Linked DNA regions of Nothobranchius furzeri. The protein of the gene in region 4 binds, or shares a complex with, the protein of the main gene of each other region. Links are inferred from orthologs where the notes say so. Each region holds a gene or a part of one and is shown on either strand. Other genes may lie near its edges.

Evidence for each region.
Region 1: txnl4a (region 4) and lsm8 share a complex: the UniProt entries of both Homo sapiens proteins name them as parts of the precatalytic spliceosome. The link is inferred for Nothobranchius furzeri from reciprocal best matches to the Homo sapiens genes TXNL4A and LSM8.
Region 2: txnl4a (region 4) and aar2 share a complex: the UniProt entries of both Homo sapiens proteins name them as parts of the U5 snRNP complex. The link is inferred for Nothobranchius furzeri from reciprocal best matches to the Homo sapiens genes TXNL4A and AAR2.
Region 3: the proteins of txnl4a (region 4) and pqbp1 are in contact, whole or in part, in a crystal structure (PDB 4BWQ), measured with the Homo sapiens proteins. The link is inferred for Nothobranchius furzeri from reciprocal best matches to the Homo sapiens genes TXNL4A and PQBP1. Residues at the interface, in NP_006692.1 of Homo sapiens: Gly11, Trp12, Val14, Asp15, Ile18, Asp68, Phe69, Met72, Tyr73, Glu74, Met82, Phe84, Asn87, His89, Met91, Gly97, Asn98, Asn99, Asn100, Lys101, Leu129; in NP_001027553.1 of Homo sapiens: Gln241, Gln242, Arg243, Pro244, Tyr245, Pro246, Ser247, Pro248, Gly249, Val251, Leu252, Ala254, Asn255.

Annotation. Positions count from the first base shown.
Region 1 is NC_091741.1:34,219,255-34,224,150, forward strand, and holds lsm8 (LSM8 homolog, U6 small nuclear RNA associated), read right to left. Parts: upstream 2,997-4,896; 5' UTR 2,372-2,996; coding exon 2,341-2,371; intron 1,874-2,340; coding exon 1,833-1,873; intron 1,364-1,832; coding exon 1,236-1,363; intron 1,113-1,235; coding exon 1,022-1,112; 3' UTR 801-1,021; downstream 1-800. UniProt on the Homo sapiens protein: Plays a role in pre-mRNA splicing as component of the U4/U6-U5 tri-snRNP complex that is involved in spliceosome assembly, and as component of the precatalytic spliceosome (spliceosome B complex).
Region 2 is NC_091755.1:59,903,302-59,908,004, reverse strand, and holds aar2 (protein AAR2 homolog), read right to left. Parts: upstream 2,850-4,703; 5' UTR 2,653-2,849; coding exon 1,887-2,652; intron 1,797-1,886; coding exon 1,567-1,796; intron 1,137-1,566; coding exon 969-1,136; 3' UTR 748-968; downstream 1-747. UniProt on the Homo sapiens protein: Component of the U5 snRNP complex that is required for spliceosome assembly and for pre-mRNA splicing.
Region 3 is NC_091755.1:41,961,103-41,966,260, reverse strand, and holds pqbp1 (polyglutamine-binding protein 1), read right to left. Parts: upstream 3,449-5,158; 5' UTR 3,338-3,448; intron 2,781-3,337; coding exon of another isoform or gene 2,776-2,780; exon of another isoform or gene 2,728-2,775; 5' UTR 2,727-2,727; coding exon 2,660-2,726; exon of another isoform or gene 2,657-2,659; intron 2,567-2,656; coding exon 2,455-2,566; intron 2,269-2,454; coding exon 2,168-2,268; intron 2,070-2,167; coding exon 1,869-2,069; intron 1,786-1,868; coding exon 1,728-1,785; intron 782-1,727; coding exon 631-781; 3' UTR 493-630; downstream 1-492. Other genes in the region: gpkow (G-patch domain and KOW motifs-containing protein), read left to right, coding at 39-124, 193-315; timm17b (mitochondrial import inner membrane translocase subunit Tim17-B), read left to right, coding at 3,449-3,474, 4,464-4,563, 4,634-4,697, 4,795-4,923, 4,997-5,107. UniProt on the Homo sapiens protein: Intrinsically disordered protein that acts as a scaffold, and which is involved in different processes, such as pre-mRNA splicing, transcription regulation, innate immunity and neuron development.
Region 4 is NC_091751.1:22,094,805-22,098,704, forward strand, and holds txnl4a (thioredoxin-like protein 4A), read left to right. Parts: upstream 1-1,393; 5' UTR 1,394-1,538; intron 1,539-1,720; 5' UTR 1,721-1,748; coding exon 1,749-1,901; intron 1,902-2,027; coding exon 2,028-2,131; intron 2,132-2,217; coding exon 2,218-2,389; 3' UTR 2,390-2,678; downstream 2,679-3,900. UniProt on the Homo sapiens protein: Plays a role in pre-mRNA splicing as component of the U5 snRNP and U4/U6-U5 tri-snRNP complexes that are involved in spliceosome assembly, and as component of the precatalytic spliceosome (spliceosome B complex).

The DNA.
Region 1 (4,896 bases), on a different chromosome or scaffold from region 4:
GATCAACAAAATGATCAAGAAATCTGGCTCAGTGGTTGGGCAACGCTTGGACTCATTTGACATGATCATCGACAAAAGGATTAAGCGTAAACTTAAGACAGTTATGACTCTGGAGGATCACCCCCTTCACCACATTTTTAAGGATCTCGGGAGCTCTTTCAGTGGGCGAATGTTAACGCCCCGGTGCTCCACTGAACGTTTTAGGAACTCTTTTATTCCAGCTGCAGTGCGTTTTTACAATGACCATTTCGTATGATTGTATATTTGATATTTTCATATTTTATTAGGACCAGTGAATGTTTTATTGTGTGGATGTGCATGTTGTGTTTACTTGTCCAAGGCAATTCAATTTCCCCCTTGGGGATTAATAAAGACAACCTTGAACCTTGAACATCGGGGCTCTCCTGATAAATTCCTGCTTGACAAAGCGCTCCCCTCCTCTCCCGGCTCCACGAACGATTCTCAAGTGGATTCAATCGCCTCTAATCCAAGCGAGCATCGGCAGTCAATGCTAACGATTGTCCATAGGCAGCCCCGATTAATCGATGCTAGACAAATGAGAACAGGACAGATCCTCATTCTTCTTCCAGATGGAGAAATAATTACTCATTCATGACTAAAGATATCAGAACTAAAATAGAGACCATGAGCTGTTTGAACAAAGCCGTAGAGTTGGCGCTATTTAATGTTTCTTTGGCAACGATCTTGTTTTTCCACATATTTTATTAAAGTTTCATTGTTTATGTGTTGTTTTCTTGTTCTGCTCCAGAGTCTGGATGTTTAGAGACCGGAGGACTTCATTATAAACAGCTTAACAAATCAGACTTTATTAAAATGATCTCAGACTGACAAAAACATGAAGTAGAAAACAAATCCAACATGTTATTTATAAAAAATACAAACAGAAACAGAACAATCGAGGTTCTGCAGCTTCACCACTCATCACGCCTCCCAGAACACGACAGCAACAGAACTGAGCTGTACTGTGATGGGTTGCCATGGAGACAGCAGGGTTCAAAGGTCAGTGTACAACAGAGTTGAGCGGCTCAGCTCTGATGTTCCCTAAATCCAGCGTGGAGTCGGTCTCCTCATCAATCTCCCCGATCACGGCGCTGGAGCAGAAACACGAGAAACGGTTAGAAGCTGTCCGAGGAGCAGCCGAGCTCCCCGTGCACCGGGACGTCCTTAGGGGTCATCATTTCTCATTTAGTTTTAGTTTGACCGAGGTGACTCACACGTTGTCTCCTCTAACGATGTAGAGGCCCAGCACCACCTGCTCCACCCCCTGGTTGGAGCTGAACACGCGCTCGTGGCTCTCATCCAGGATCAGGTTGATGGTCTGATCAAAGCCCTTCAAAGTGCCCTGAACACCCAAATGATAAATAAATAAATATAAATAAATAAGTACAGCACCTTTCAGTCAGAGGATTCCAAAGCAACTTAATATTATTATTCATCAACACGCTGGTGGTGTTGAGCTACAATGAATCATACTTAAAACAACCAGGCTAATAAAATACTAATAGTTCAGATTACACTTGAACTTTTATTTCAAAATGATTTTCAGTTATCTGCAGTTTTATGCCCCAAAACAGTAAAAATCTGACCATAAAAGTAAAAACGTGTCTGTCAGCATCTGTAGTGATGGGAACAGGACTAGATTTCTGGATTTACAGTCGAGGGAAAAACTAAATCCCCTGTGACCGACACCGGTTTAAATGAGGCTTCGGTTCAGGTGGAGGGGAAATCCTTGTGCTGGAGCCTCAAACATCTAAACACCAGAACCGTATCATCTTCTCTGCTGTCCAGCTGAGCTGAAAACGTGAACTCACCACGATCATCCTCCCGTCTGAGGTGACGATGGCAACAGTTCCTGGATCAGCTGGAGTCAAGGAAACATCATCTGTGCACAACTCATCAGTAAATTACGTCTAGCTTCTCCGTTTTCACCCGAACAACAACGATGGGTGTGCTTCAGTTAAATAACCCGACATCTTAAATCAGAAACAAACTAAATATATTTTATTCACAACCCGTGAAACCGAACTAACGCAGATCAGAACCGTTAATATCTACGTTTTGACGCCATCTGATCATATAAAATTCTATCAGTGATTTTTTTTTATGCAAACACTGATTTGAAATTGAACTGCTACGTAAAAGTTATTCCAGGTATGTTCATTCAGTTCTAAATAAAAATGAGTAGTTTTTTTGTCGCTTTAGCTTTTACCGTCTCTAAACTCCACCTAAACAACAACAAATTACATAAACATCGAAGCTAGCGCGCTAAGCTAACTAGCACTTCTTAAGCATGCAGTTAGCATGCTAGCAGCAAGATACGGTTGATGTAGCTCTCCAGCGCGGTGGACATGCTTCGTCCCGGACTCGGTCTCTATCTGTCCAGCAGAAAAATCGGTAAATCCCTCCAACGGTTGTCTATTTGCGCCGCTGTGTAAAAAAATAAAACGGAAAGAGCATCAAACCGCACCGCACCAAAACACCGGAGACAAGTCAAGACTAATCATACGCCGAATCATCGCGCAGGAAGGGGCGCGGAGGGTCGAGCGGTGACGTTTTTTTTATTCAAATTCCTCCAAATGTTATCATCAAACATTGATCTGGAAAGTTGTTTAAACGTGTGAGTAGGTGATGTCAGAGCTACAACCCTAAAGACAAAATATTGGGTACAGAAATGAAACACACTATAGCCCTATCAGTGGCGCATTTAGCAATTTGGGGCCCAAGGCGAGCACAGACATGGGGCCCCCTTAAAATAAATTTCGGCAATCTTACTTTTAATTGGATTTACAAAACTCTCCCCTCTTCTGCCATGAGTTATTTTCCCTTTTTATTAGTCCTCCTCTTTATTCATGTCTTTCTCTCCCTTTGAGTGCCTCCAATATTTGCTCTGCTTTCTTCTTCCTGTCAGTGCTCCTGAGCTTTTGCCTTTTTTAAATTTATTTTTCATTTTGGTCTACGTTTTCCTCCCTTTAAACATTTTCTATTGTCTTTCCTTTTCTGCTTCCTGATGCTCGAGCATCCGACAGAGGTGGAAAGTAATGAATTACATTTACTCACGTTACTGTAATTGAGTAGCTTTTTTGTATATTTATACTTTTTAAGTCATTTTTAAAATCTGTACTTTTACTTGAGTAAGTTTTTTAAAAAGAATTGTAATTCGCTACATTTTAAATCATATCCGTTACTGAGTAAAAATAAATTATAGGCTTAATAAATTAAAAATATTACGTGAAGCAGCGTCAGAACGGAAAGAGACACCTGCATGAGGACCGCATCTAAACCGGGGGTGTGTGGGGGTGTACACTTTTGCTCAAAGACATCATCAGTTCAGTCGATCAACTCGCTGTTTATCACCTCTCTCCCTCCTCTCCTGTGGTTGGAACCTGCACCTTCGCGCACCAGTGTGACATCATCAGAATTCTGCTCGGTTCGGTAGCGAGACTCGGTTCCGTGTTTGAAATGTGTTTCCCTACCGCTCCGCACGGCAGCGGCAAAATACTGTTTAGTGCTCATAACAAGCGGATTATCAGCGCTTTGCTCATAAACAGAAGAGCTGCAGGCCTCTGTGAGTTAAAACATCATGATACTGTTCAGGTGTAAACATTGTGCTCCATCCCTGTGTTTGAACTCAGAAGTTGCTCCTTGATGCCACAGATATGTGATGATTTAGCTTGTTTCTTTATTTTACTCCAGAATTAGAGATTAAATTATTACTAAAGCAATTCAATGTAGTTAAATTAGTCATGGCGTGCGTGTGTGTGTGTGTGTGTGTGTGTTACACATATAGGACTGCATGAGACAGCGTGGTTTCATCAAATCCATGCATCTCATATCTTGGGTGAAGTAACGGCTCAGGAAAATAACATATATTTCATAAATAATGACGTCTCTGCAGTGTTTATGATAATGTTTTATCTTATCTTTGGTCTGGGAGGTGTAACTTATCATGATACAAGCCTTTTAAAACATGTTAAAGTGTTACAAGAGGAGATAAATGCATGAATTTAAAGTTCATGTTTGGAGGCTCACGCTGGTGAGGAGACACCGTTAGTTCTAGTAACACCTGGGCTCCCAAGGCCTGTTCTGACAGGATGGATGTTACGGGACCCTTAAGGATTCCAGTTGGATGATTGGAGGATTATTTAGGAGGATTGAAATGAACAAACTGATTTCAGTGGTGAAGGGTTAAATGAGTGAGTGAACCCACTGCCAAGGATGAACTCTGCTAGCTTTAAAAATCAGCTGCTCTAAATAAGCATGAAGGTCAGAGAGGATCTCTAGGATGGACATGGATAAAGGAACTGTAATGTAGAGGTAAAGTAGGGCAGGGCCAACGTTAGCAGCTGTCATACGGTCCATCTGACATGTTTGACTGCATTAGGCTTGCTATGTGACAGGTTAGAGCACAGTCTCATGTTAGAGTTTTGTCATGAGGACATTGAGATACCTCACATGCTGATGGCATCTAAAAAAATTATTTTTTCTCAAAATAAAGAATAATTTGAATCACAATTGAAACTTACCATCCTAGAAAAACCTCGTCCAATCAATGTGCACGTCCTGTTCTCACTGATTGGATAGAAATCCTTCCTTCAAGCCGTGCGTGTTTGAGTGTGTGTGTGCGCACACACAAGCGAATTGTGAACTGCCGTTGCGATTTAGCACTACTTAGATGTAGCCATCCTTACGCTGACAAAAATGTAACTAAGTAACTTTTACTTTGAGTACATTTTGTTTACGATACCTTTTACTTTTACTTGAGTAAAAATTTAGGCAAGTACTTTTACTTGTAATTGAGTAAAAAATTATCAAAGTATTGGTACTCGTAATTAAGTAGGAAATTTTAGTACTCTTTCCACCTCTGGCATCTGACCC
Region 2 (4,703 bases), on a different chromosome or scaffold from region 4:
TGATGAGACTGGACAAGATTTGTCCAATCAGATATTGGCAGGGGGACACAGAGAGATAGATCTGTGTTTGTTATCCAGATCCAGTCAGTGCATAACACACATCTTCTTAATTATCAGCTTATATGAAAAAAAAAAAGTATTTGATAGGTTTGAGGTTTGAAAACCTGGTAGGATCTTGAGGTGTTCCTGCTTTTATAAACAGAACCTTTATTGTGTGGTTTTTGAAAACCGACTAAACTAAAAGGAGCTCATAGTGAAAACCAGTCCTCCAGTTCCCCCTAGTGGACATGTTAAACATTCATGATAATTAAAAGAGGCTGACATTCATCCATCCATTTGCAGCCGCTTATCCAGAGTCAGGTCACGGGTCAGGTCAGCCTAAGCCGAGGCCCAGACTTCCTTCTCCCCAGCCACTTGGGCCAGCTACTCTAAGGGAACCCTAAGGCAGTGCCTGGCCAGCTGACGCAGTCCCTCCAGCGTGTCCTGGGTCTTCTCCAGGTTGGATGTGTCTGGAAAGCCCCTCACTAGGGAGACGTTCAGGGGCAACCTGACCACATGGTTGCTTTATATAAATATGTTCCCACTTTCCTGTTGGACAATAGTGCTTTATTTTGAAACAAATGTTACGCATATGATGTCTTGCATGTTTAGATTTGTTCATAGATTCATGAACTACTGTTCAAAACTTTCCAATAATGTGGTAGAATGTAAATGTTCTTTTGAAACAACTATACAAATAAAACAAAATAAATTGTTACTGACTTTATTTAATATAAAAACCACCAGACCTCAGATCAAACCTCTCCTCTCTCTGACTACATCACTACAGATGATTCGTGAACATATTATCTTCTCCTTATGAAAAGACAAACAATAGAAGACATGTTGGAACCACACAGAACAACCGTGGCAGTGTGCTGCTGTAGAACCGGTATGAGGCCAAGAGGAGAAACTGCACGATGGGAGAATTAGTCCACTGTGACGCCTTCAGGCAGCTCCACCACTACAGGTGCACAGTCGTCCAAATCTGCATCGAAATCCCAACGAAACTTCTTGGTTAGGTGGGTTTTGAACTTCTCTGCCTTCTTTTGTAGGATCCCATCCACACCAGGTCCAGTGGCAAACTGGAAAAAATCCTGCAAGATAAAAAGTCGATTTAATAATCCCCAATGAAGAACACCAGTTTGAGATCAAATAGAAACAAAATATGGGACCCTAATTCTTGCTCTAGTAGATTTTCCATCTTGTAGCTGCTTAAAAATCATTTTGAAAGAAGAAAAAAAAATTGAAGACAGATTTTAAATGAAAATATTACTTAAAGACCTCGTTGAAAGGATTCATGTCCCCTGCTACCTTTTATAGTTTTAAATGAAGGCTGGAAATGCTGGAAAATGATGGATATCCGGTCTGAAATGTACAAGTTGTTTGTTACATTTATAAACAATTTAGGGTCACAAGAAATAAAAACATGATGTTTGTGCCTCTAGTGACAGCTCTTTTCTGATTCAGAAACATTTTGAATATTTCCCTAACATTGTGCGTGCAGCTGTTGCACATCTGCTGTACCTGCAGCGTGCTGGTGAGGAAGTTGTTCTGTGACACAATGTCAACAAAGAAGTCAGGAGGGACTTCTCCGAGCTGGTGGTAGAGCACAGTGATGAGTCCCAGATAGAGCTCCTTCCTCCTCCTCATGGCCTCCTCCGAGCGGCACAGCAGAGCCAGGAGGCTCTTCCAGTGCTCAAAGCCCTCGTACACATTCCCAATCAAGAAACACACAAAAGCAAACTGCAGCTCACCTGGAAGAGATTTGAGATTCAGATATTTAGTTGCATAGGCATTAGGCAGTTGCATTCTTGTAACAGTGCATTAATCTTTGTGACACAAACCAAGCAAGTTTAGAGGCTGGTTCTCGTATTTCTTCTCCAGAACCCCCTCCAGGGCATAGCTCAAGTCCATGCTGCATTTCGTGATCTCAGCTGGAGTAGCCCCAGGAGGGTAGGTCTTTTTGGGAATAACTGAAAAGCGCAGTTCAGTCCCTTCTCTGTGCTTCATTTTGGGAAGCCTGTCCAGTCCCTCTTTCATGCTCTGGCAGGCCGTGTCGTTCCTCGGCTGCTCTGCCCTGTCTTTTGTGTGTCTGAACTGAAGCTCGGGGACGACATCACTGAAGGCGCAGATTCGACCCGTCAGAGGCTGTAAGTCACTGGCCAGCTTCTCGCTGATGTGATCGGTGAGAGACACCCACTTCCTCATGACCTCATAGGGATAAGGGCCCAAGAAGGGATCCAGCTCCCGCAAAGTCCCCCGGATCCTGTTCACTTCCTCTTCATTCCTGGAGGCTGAGAAATCCAGATCTTCTTCTTTGGGATCCCAGTTGGCCAGGAGAATTTCTCTTGGTTTCAGGGTGAGGAAAAGACCCGTTTTAGGACCGATTTCTCCACCACAGCTTGGCGAGTTTACAGAGCAGTAATGGAGGAAGTGTAAACCAGGGGGGATCATCTTAACACCACGAAACCGAGGACCAACCTGCCAGCTTTTGCAGTCAATCCCAAGCTCGGTGCCCTGAGGAACACCCAGCAGAACCAAAGTAGCTCCTTCTTCAAATAACGACCAAGCAACATCTGGATCCATGTTCGAAGAGCTGCTGCTGGCCATCTTTGTTTACTACTAATCTACAAACTATATTTACTGAGAAACATGCGTAAATTCTCTCAGGTGCTACGTGAGCTGTTCATCATTCAAGTGTTTCCGTATTTGAACGCGAATGCTAATTTTAGGGTTTTAAAGTATCTTATTTAAGCAGCGAAGATTATCAATAAAGTAAAAAAAACTAATTACATTTCGAAAAACCCCATTTTACGGTCTACGCGTCCACTTATAAAAACAAACTGTACCTACAGTTACACTAGTGGACGTTCCAAACAACAACGCTGCTATTTCGTTTGCCGGAAATCTGTGTAACAAAATAAATGCTCAGGGTGGAAACAGTGTCTCATTAGAACAGTTCCGCTCTTTTGCACAACTTGGCCTCCAAGTTTTTCTTAATATATCTTTTTAGAAATTTAGGTTTGGGAAAATGAAGCAATAAAAAGATTTTAAAGCAGATTTTTTTCGCAGTGGCAGAATTGATGCTGTAATCGCTTTTGCTATGTAAAAAGCCCAACAATGAGCAAAACTCGCTAAAATAAATTTATAAGACTGTTTAAAAACTATTTATTTTATGTACTCAGGATTAACATTTTCCATTGCAGTACATTTATTTTACATTGCCCTTTAAATTAGTAAGATTATATTCTGGCAAAATTTCATTATAAAATGTTTTACTTATTATTATTGTCAATATTTATGTTGGACTGTTCTATGCAATACCCATTGGAAGGAGTGATTGTGAACAAGACTGATTTGGAAATGTCGAAAATATTTCAATTGGGTTTTTAGCTTAATAAAAAAGACAGCTAGAGGCTGCGAGTTCCTCTCTTGTTAACTCAGACATGTCATGTTTTGTAATAATTTACAGGAAGTGTTTGCGCTAATTAAATTTTTGTGATTGCTCTTTCTAGTCCTCCATCATCCCCAATAAGACAAAAATGGGATGTTTTTCATAATAATAATAATAATAATAATAATAATAATGATGATGATGATGATGATAATGATAATGCAAAAAAGTTTTTTTTAATTGAACTAGACTGTAGTTCATCTCTGTGCCACCAGAGGGCATTAATGTCCCATCTCCTCTTCTCTTTTAAAAGCACCAGTTCCTTTGAATTATTAAAAAAATAATTTGCAATGGCCTTTTGGAATTATCAAAGGTGGGACTCTCTAAATACTAACTAACATTAAGAAGAGAATAATATAAATTATTTTTGTTGTTTTCTTAATATTTTTATGAAGAAAATCTGACATTGAATTCACAGGATAACACACAGAGACACATTTACGTTTGACTCACAAACACATCACATGAGACTTTGAAATGTGCATAATGCTGAATATTTGCATTTAGCTTATTTGTGGTTACAATGAAACTATAACAACATAACAAGGAGCAATGCTAACAAATGCAGAAAGAGCAAGAACACTAATGAGAACTTAACATTCATGTTTATTATCAGCTATCTTTGCAAAAAGGGTCATATCACGGTGCTGTGAATATACTTAAACTGGTGTTTTTGTGAGAAGTTACCAGTCACACCAGACCCTACTTAGATTTGTAGCTGCTCTGAAGTTTTTGCCAACAAGTAATCAGTAATTTGATTATGTTGATGAATAATTTCCTCTTCCTCTTCTTTCCTTGTATTTTCCGAACAGTTGAGCAAGAAGTTGTCTCTGTCTTAAAGAATGCAAGAAGAAACATAAGGCTTGCATTGTCAGTCATTGAAATTAAAGACTATAAACCTGAATTATTAAAGTAATTTTGCTACCAAATAAGTAGGATTGCAGTTTTGAAGGATGAGCTGCTCCATGCTCTCAACTGGCTTCTCCAGATCAGATGTCTGCTTCCCACTCCTCTGACACCTTATCTGCTGCGTCAGACCATAGATGGACACCAGGATGTGACCGACCTGCCAAAAGAAGGAAAAAAATAAAGTTGAGAATCTTAAACAAGTTTTATATTTAACAATGTTGAGGAAGATTTTAATATTTCCTTAAATGTCCTGCACTTGACAGACCTCTAATATGAGATTATCAGTACGTGTGAAGTA
Region 3 (5,158 bases), on a different chromosome or scaffold from region 4:
CCTGGCTGCTGCCATGGTAACCGTTTTAACTGTGCCAGATGTGAAGCAGGACATGCTGGAAACCATCGTCCCTAAAGGCGAGTACGACTCTGTGATGGTTGTGCTGGGGGAGAACAGGGGCCAGGTGAGCAGATGATCCTTACTGGTTGTGTAATCATAACCGTCGCTGACCAGCTTCTCTGGCTTGATCAGGTGGGCCGGATTCTTCAGCGGGACAAGAACAAGTGCAGAGCCACGGTCCAGCTGGACAGATGCGAGGAGGAGCTGTTCACGCTGGATTACGACTGCATTTGTCACTACGTAGGAGACCACTGAAGCCTGGTCCTTCGCCTCGTCTTAAGTGTTGCTTTTCTAATGATGGACAGTATTTTAACACTTTGGAATTTTTAATAAAACCTTGGAAAAGTGTTTGTGCAGGCGTTCTTACAGTTACGACGAGCCCCAGCAGATGCTTTTCTCACCAGAGTAAGAACTGATTATGTTAACTGGTGGTTCTAGTAACAACATGAAATCCATTTTATTATAAAACATATTTACAACAAGTTTGATCTCTAAAATGTCAGCATGCGACATCACGTCTAACAACAAGAGGTGTGCGCAGGACGCAGAGCGTCTCCGTGGGAGCGCTTCTCATTCCTTGGGCGGTTGGTTGGCAGCGTTGGCCCGCAGCACCGCGCCTGGACTCGGGTACGGCCGCTGCTGGAACAGCGGGCCGGCGGCTGTGGTGTCTGCACCGGTTTTGGCCTCGTTGCGTTTGGGAAGACCACTCGACCAAGAGCCCCTGTGGAAAACAGTTCAGCAGACCTTTAGAGTGGGCCAGCTTGTTTGCTAACGCCTGGTTGTTTAGCTAGCGCTAGAGCCGTTTCAGCTGGTTAACTTGACCGTTTCGTGTATTCAGCAGACGCGTTTGTCCAGAGTGACTCACAAATGAGCGTTTTTACACACAACACAAATGTGTTGGGCTGTTCTGCAAAAAAAACCTAAAGTTCTGACTTCAGTCGACAGGACAAACCACAGAACCCGATCCCTTTAGTACCCGTTTCAGCCAGAAGCCTTCCAGGAATCCACTTGTTGAAAACTACAAATTTTATTCCTGCAAGTGTGCATTAGTGGCATTTCCATAGATGCGGCTAAAGACGCCATCACTATAAAGCCAGGCGTTGAGTTTTGAATAAATAATATGTAAAGAAAGTTGTAATAATGGGTCAAGGTGACAGGTGCAGCTTTTCCAAAACACGGGATTTAGCTGAATTTAAAGCCTAGACTGCAGAAAGCTTGGCCGAAAGAAAAATGATACTAATGAAAGTAGAACGACTACTTTAGAAGACCCCGAGGCTAAAACTGTATAAATCACATGTTTGATTCAAGTAGCTTTAAAGACGTAAATAAAAACATGATCATGCACCAGAGTTCAGTTCCGGCGGGTCCAGCCCAGAGGGTGAAACCGGAGGAGAGGGACTGCAGCGTGTGACTCAGAAAACTGCAGCCACCTCGCTCCCATGAGGTTTCAGAGCCACGTGACTTGGCGCCTGCTTTGCAGTGCCAGCAGCAGTCGTCCAAAGTTTCTACCCAGCATGCATCATGTTACACCGCTGCTGCAGTGCTGTGCATTCAATTAAAGACTTAAATGTCTGCTTTGTTCTTTAACTTACAAAGCTGAAGCTGACATGTAACTGAGTGGAATGACGACAGGGGTAATTTCCTGCCTGCTGCTTGTTTTACTTTACCTGGGAGCATCAGAATAAGCGCTGGGGTCCATGGGGTCCATCTCGTCATCCTTTCTTCCTGCAAACACGATCAGATTTTAACTGTTATTGTATCACAGATAAAGCTTTAACGTGAAAACGAAAGACTTCTGTAAGCATCACCTCTTTTGTTCTTGTTGTATGGTGCCATGTCGTCCCTCCTTTGCTTTCTTCTGTCTCTGTCCCGCCCATCATCTCTGTCCCTGTCTCTGTCCCGATCTCTTTCTCTTTCCCGGTCCCTATCCCTGTCTCTGTCCCTTTCCCGTTCTCTCTCTCTGTCTGGCTTCTCAAACGGTCGCTCTCCTCTTTCATCTCCCAAATCAGCTAAAAACAAATAATAATGCAATTTCTGTGAAAAACATTCCTCGTTTCTTTTTTAAAGACACTTATGCAAAACTGGCGAGTTTAGTTTTTAAACCCACCTTTCATTTTCTTGGCAGCTTTTGTTATCACAGACGAGGGGTCATTTGGGGACAGCCAGGCGACTAGATCCGTCTCAACATTCCAGTAGTAAGGAAGACCACTGAGGGTGGCAGGAAATCAGGAAGAGAAGGCTAATCAGCTTACATACTAAACATGTAAAAGAGACCCAATGACATCGCTTTGTGAATTCACTGGAAAGCTTCATCTGGACTGCAAACACCCAAACACAAGCGCACTGGAGGTAAAACTACCAAAGAACCGTAGATAACCAGTACAGTGTACGTACCAAGCTGGATCAAACACTTTGTACCAGTTTGGAGGAAGATTCTCTGCTCTGGTGGCTTCATAATCTACATTATTGTCATCATAATCTTCGGCAATAATCTCCTCATCTGCACCTGTTATTAAAGGAGAAAATACTGTTACACGACATACGTGTAAAGTCACAGAGAAGGATGCATGGAGCCAGCGTGTTCAAGCCAAATGAGAACCTCGTTCTGTTGGTTTAACGATCCCCCTCTTGGCCAAGCGGGCCAGCAGAGCTGGAGGAAGAGGCATCCTGAAAAACACGAGATGCTGTCACAACAGTCACCTCGAACATCTGTACATGAGGTCAGTGGTTTCATAAATCCACAGCAAAGATACAGAAAATTTACTTGTTTCTCATGTGTTCTGATATTTAAAGTATACAGCCTCAATTATACACAACGGGGTTTATCCCAATAAACAAAACGTCTCTTTACTGCCAAATTACGTACAAAAACGAGTTAATTTATAACAAATAAACATCTGAACAGAAACCTTTCAGATAAAACATTGTAATGAAATATGGAGAACATAAAGCTCCCAACAGCACACGCAGTAAAAGGCGTCGGGCTTTCAATACAATTTGAATAAATGCTGTTCTTACGTTTTCAGTTGAAGTTATGTTCAACATTTGAGTTGTGTTATTTTTAAAGACTTTAACTACAGATGTAGAAACAGTCTGACATTCGTAAAATCTGCATTTATTTGCACGAACAACAAACGTTTACCCGAAGGCTAACCCTGTTAGCAACCGCTGGATGATTAAATCAACAAGCAGACTGCGTAAGTACTTCCATGCCCGGAAGGAACGAAAATCTGAACGTTTACGCTTCAAAACGGGATCCGAACAGGAACAAGTTTACCTGAGATAAAGAAATTCACCCAATAGCAGAGAAAATGATGTTAGCACCGCCAACGCACTAGTAGCGCCGGTCGCACGTGTATGACGTCACAACGTCTAGACGAAAACAAACATGGAGGAATATGTCCGCGAACCTTGGTAAGATTAGTTTGTCTTTAACTGTAAACTAAATACGGCTAACATACATACCAGTGTTGGTTTTTCTAGTGAAACATAAACATGTGAGAGAACAGAGACGCGTTGTGAGTTCTGCTGTCAATCCACGTATATATACGTGCTTACGTTCAATGCAATTCAAAAATACTTTATTAATCCCAGAGGAAATTGATTGCTGTAGTAGCTCAGAATAATAATAATAAACAAGTCATCAAAGAGTTGTTGTATATTACAATGGCTGTTGGCAGGAAGGATCTCCAGTAGCGGTCAGTGTTGCAGCCAAACTGAAGAAGCCTCTGACTGAAGACACTCTTCCGTTGTCGGACAGTCTTGTGAAGAGAACGCTCAGGGTTGTCCATAATTTTCTTGATTCTCTGGAGAATCCTCCTTTGCATTTTCTCCTCCAGCGGTTCCGAAACTGCCGAAACTCTGGCTGAGTCCTTGAAAGGGCTTGGAGTTCCTCCATCTTGTTGGCCAGTGATCTCACATTGCCCGTTATGATCGATGGAAGAGACGGTTTGAATTTCCTCTTTCTCTGTCTCCGTTTTGCTCCCGCTCTGCACCCACGCTTCTTGCGTTTTAGCTCATTTGGGATTTGTGGCTTCAGTTGAGGTATTATTTCAGCCTTTCCAATGTTAATCAGCTGCTCCCGATTGTAAACCAGCTTGTTGCCATGGTTACGCATCATAACAAATGCTCAAAAAGTGTAAAAAGCTAAAAAATAGCAGTAAAAATCCTCCAAGCTTCACAGCACCAGAAACAGAAAAGTAGTGTCCAAAAAAATACCGTTTCTCTTGAGAAACTAGAAGAAAAAATGCCCAAGAAAAGGCAAAACTTACATATAGTCAACAGAGCTACTCCAACATGCAGCCACCCAGAGCAGCGCAGTTCCGTTGACGTCTGTATCCTGATCTGACTGTATATCTTGTATTTTGACGGTGTCTTGTGTGTCCTCCCCTAACCTCCTGCAGCCCCTGGAGGATTGTGGACGACTGTGGAGGAGCTTTCTCCATGGGTGTCATCGGTGGAGGGGTGTTCCAGGCCATCAAGGGCTTCCGAAATGCCCCTGCTGTGAGTTTAAAACAGACTAGTTTGACTTGACTTCTTGGAAGCCTTTATAAACCTGTCTGTAACATTTCAGGGTGTTGGACACAGACTAAGAGGAAGTGCAAAGGCAGTGAGAGTGAGGGCCCCACAGATTGGAGGTTTGACCCGTTGCTGCTCTGCTCCTCACACACCACTGAAGGATTTTGGTCCCTTTCTCTAAACTGAGCTTCAGCACTGACGTGCTTCTTCTACCAGGTAGCTTTGCCGTATGGGGAGGTCTCTTCTCTACGATTGACTGTGGCTTGGTTCGCCTGAGAGGGAAAGAAGACCCGTGGAACTCTATAACAAGTGGTGCGCTGACTGGAGCCATTCTAGCAGCACGCAGTGAGGATAACACTCAACAACCAAACACTAGACAGGAACTCAGTAACTCACCAAATGTTTTGGTTTGCCTCAGGTGGGCCGTTGACCATGATGGGCTCGGCCATGATGGGCGGGGTTTTACTCGCTCTCATAGAAGGTTTTGGCATTCTCCTAACCAGATACACAGCCCAGCAGTTTCAGAACCGTGAGTGCCTTTCCCGTCTCTGTAATATACACCAGGTGCTCAAACTGAACA
Region 4 (3,900 bases):
TGATGGTAGTCGGAGAATAGATTAGAACTTTATCCCACGTCAGCTACCATGACTGTTTGTTAATCAATCATGTCTTAAACCAAATCTTCTAACAGGAGAAAGGTGAACTCATCATTCACTGGGTCATTCATTACCACAGTGATGCGGTTAATTAGTCATGAAATGAAAAAAATATAACTTTTAGACATATCTAATGATCATTTAGACTCTCTCTCTCTAGGGAGTGCCACAATGTGCTGCTATGTCGTCAGACTGGAACGTTTTTTCTTTAACCTTTATACTATCTTTTTCTTCTTTGATTGTACTGCAGTAAATTGCACAATAAGTGTTTTTTCTTCGTGTTTTTCCACTATTAGAATTGTACACCCACACTTTAAATAAAATAACGTCTCTAAATCTAAGTAAGACTGAAAGATTGATGATTTATTTGTTTATTCGTAATGGTATTTTCAAGTTTTAAAAGTGCTTCAGCATTTAAATAAGTCCTTGAAAACAACTGAAACTGACTTTATGGTGCAGACGTTTCCTTTAATGAGACAGCAAAGTGACGTGATTGTTGTGAACAAGTATAAACGGTCTCTGTGCAACACCGGTGTAACGTGCTGGAAAATATTTAAAAACTCCATCTTAAAGTGCTTGAAAAGGGTTTACATTTTATTATTTACAAAGTGTGTTAGGAAGCCTGCAAAAAATCAAGTACGACACGTAGTATTTGACATTGCATGATGAGTTAGGGTTGGGTTTTTACAAATTTTTCTTTGGAATCTCTTTTTGTGGAAGAATTTGAGTTTGAACGCAGAGTAAAACTCCAAACTAATCATTTTTCAAGCTGTATCCATTTTACAGCAAGTGTGCCAAATATACACATTGTTCTAAATTTGTGAACTTGTTAAGAATCAGAAATACTTCACAGCATCAAATATTAACAGTTTTTTTTGTAAAGTACACAAACAACACGTGCACGTTTTAATTGAAGTGTGGCAAACAAGCTTTACAAATAAAGAGTGCTCCGAGATTTCCTAAAAAATGTATTCATGTTGCAAATTTCTAATTATGTTATCTAGACTGTAAACATAATTTCTGTTTGTTATTGAGCTGTTTGAAAATCTGTTTGTTCTCCATGCATGAATACGAAATACATTTAATACTAGAAGTATTTCTCTAGTTGATCATCCAAAAAGATGATCATCCAAAAAGATATTGCTGGAAAACATAACGTAAATATATTTATTTTAAAAGTACTTGCTGGAGTGAAAAGTAATTATTTCAAATAATTAATTATTTAAAATTTTTATTTTTTGTGTGCGGCTTTCACATTAAAAAATAATAAATAAATAAATTGGGACTTTTTAAAAGAGTTTTTCGAATTGAGCGACTATGACGTAAATTTAACGCGTCTCCTGCGTCGCTGATTTGATGACGTCGTGAAGCGTTTGTTTTCCGTGGGGTTTAAAAGAAGTCACATTGAACATAGCTGCTTTATCTATAGTTAGTCCGTTTTCTTCCCGCCACTTAAATACTCTATTTTATATTTTGGGGTAAGTGTTTCAGAATATTTAGTGGGAAGTTTCATAATTGTGTCTTTCAGATTGTATCCATGGTTAACGCTAACTAGCTAGCTAGCTGTTGCCGGTCAAACCGTTCTCTGGTACTCAGAGATGTTTGTTTAATTTAATGTTCAGCTGTGATCGATTTGAACTCTTTATTTGATCCATTTCAGGTTAGAATTTGCTCATTTTTGAGTCAAGATGTCGTACATGTTACCGCATCTCCACAATGGATGGCAGGTCGACCAAGCCATCCTGTCTGAGGAGGACCGAGTCCTCGTCATCCGCTTCGGACACGACTGGGACCCAACATGTATGAAGATGGACGAGGTTCTTTACAGCATCGCTGAAAAGGTTTGATTTGTTTCCTGTCTTTATTATATAAAGTCCGGTTGGCTCAGATTCAGGAGTCGCGTCACATTACCTGCTGGCGTGCTCCAAATGCCATGTTTAATTCATTCTTGGTTTGTTTATTTACAGGTGAAGAACTTTGCTGTCATTTACCTCGTGGACATCACAGAAGTGCCTGATTTCAATAAGATGTACGAGTTGTACGACCCCTGCACTGTCATGTTCTTTTTCAGGTAGCTCTTCCAGTTCCACATGTTGCAATAGACAGGGCAGCTGAGTAAACATATTTTAAGGTGATATTTTTGTCTTTCTCTTCCAGGAACAAACACATCATGATTGATTTGGGCACCGGTAACAATAACAAGATCAACTGGATAATCGAGGACAAACAGGAGATGATAGATATTGTTGAAACTGTGTATCGAGGAGCAAGGAAAGGAAGAGGTTTGGTGGTGTCTCCCAAGGATTACTCTACAAAATACAGATACTGATTTTTTTTCATCCTCCTTTGTTCAGTTTATTATTTTTTCATTTGACAAAATGAAGAGACAAAAAACACAAAAGGTTCAGGAATATTCTTCAGCGTGTTTACCTTTGGTAGTAAAACAGGACATTGTTGATAATGGTGGGTTTAATGTCACTTTTTGTTTTTGCAAACGTAGCTTCATAAATATTAAGTTTTGTGTTTTTTAAGGCTTATTTCTGTGAAATATGTCAGTGTGGAACACATCGGTAATATTGTACAACTTGTAACTGTTTTAATAAAAAACTTTTACTTAAGATTTAAATGTAGTGTTTTAATTTATTTTATATATATATATATATATATATATATATATATATATATTCTGAACCTGCTTGTCCATGTAGGGTCGCGGGGGGCTGGTGCCTATCTCCAGCTGTCACTGGGCAACCAGGCGGGGTTCACCCTGGACAGAGCCAGTCTATCTAGTACTTCTAAGGCCTATAAAATAAACATGTTTATCATGAGTACAAGCTGTTCCACCACATCATTAAGTATAAGACTGATAGATTTATGAGTGTAAAACTTAAAATCCTGCTTTTCTGTTGTTAATACTCTTAATTCTAGAAGGCTTTTAATGACTGGCTAAAAAATATGGCTATAAGTTTATAAATATAATGAATATATGATCTTATTTAATTATGGTTATGCAAAATAAGATAGTAGACAGGCTTTTTAAAATGTTAAGTATTTTAAATAAAACGAATCTGTGCATAATGTTGGAAATCATACCATTTTAATGACATACCTGGAATCTTCCACTAGAGGGAGTTAGAGCTCTTGACTGCACCTTTGCCTCATTGGATCATTGTAAAACTTCATTATAACATTAATTAATAGTGATACTAAATGTAGAAGGACGTATGAGCCAAACACCAGTGAGAGATGAACACTGAAACCAAGAGTAATACATTTTAATGCAAATTTTTTTATAGGAAATGCACTGAGGCACAATATTAAATACCACACTGGCCAAAAAAAGTCACATTAATATTTCTTTGAATTGCCTTTAGCTTCAGTTACGACACACATTTGCTGTAGCATTGTTTCCATACGCTTCTGCAGTGTCACCAGATTCACTTCCATCCAGTGTTGCATTAACTTTTCACCAAGATCTTGCATTGATGATGGTAGAGTCTGACCGCTGCACAAAGCCTTCTCCAGCACATCCTCAATGGGGTTAAGGTCTGGTGACCAATCCATGTGTAAAATGATGTCTCGTGCTCCCTGAACCACTCTTTCACTGTTTGAGCTTGATGAATCCGGGCATCGTCATCTTGGAATATTCCCGTGTCATCAGGGAAGATGGAATAACCTGGTCATTCAGGATGTTCAGGTAGTCAGCTGACCTCATTCTTGGTGCACATCCTGTTGCTGAACCTAGATCTGACCACCTGCAGCAAGCACAGATCATAACACTGCCCCCACAGGCTTGTAGACACTAGGCATGATGGGTGCTTCCCTTCATCTGCCCCTCTT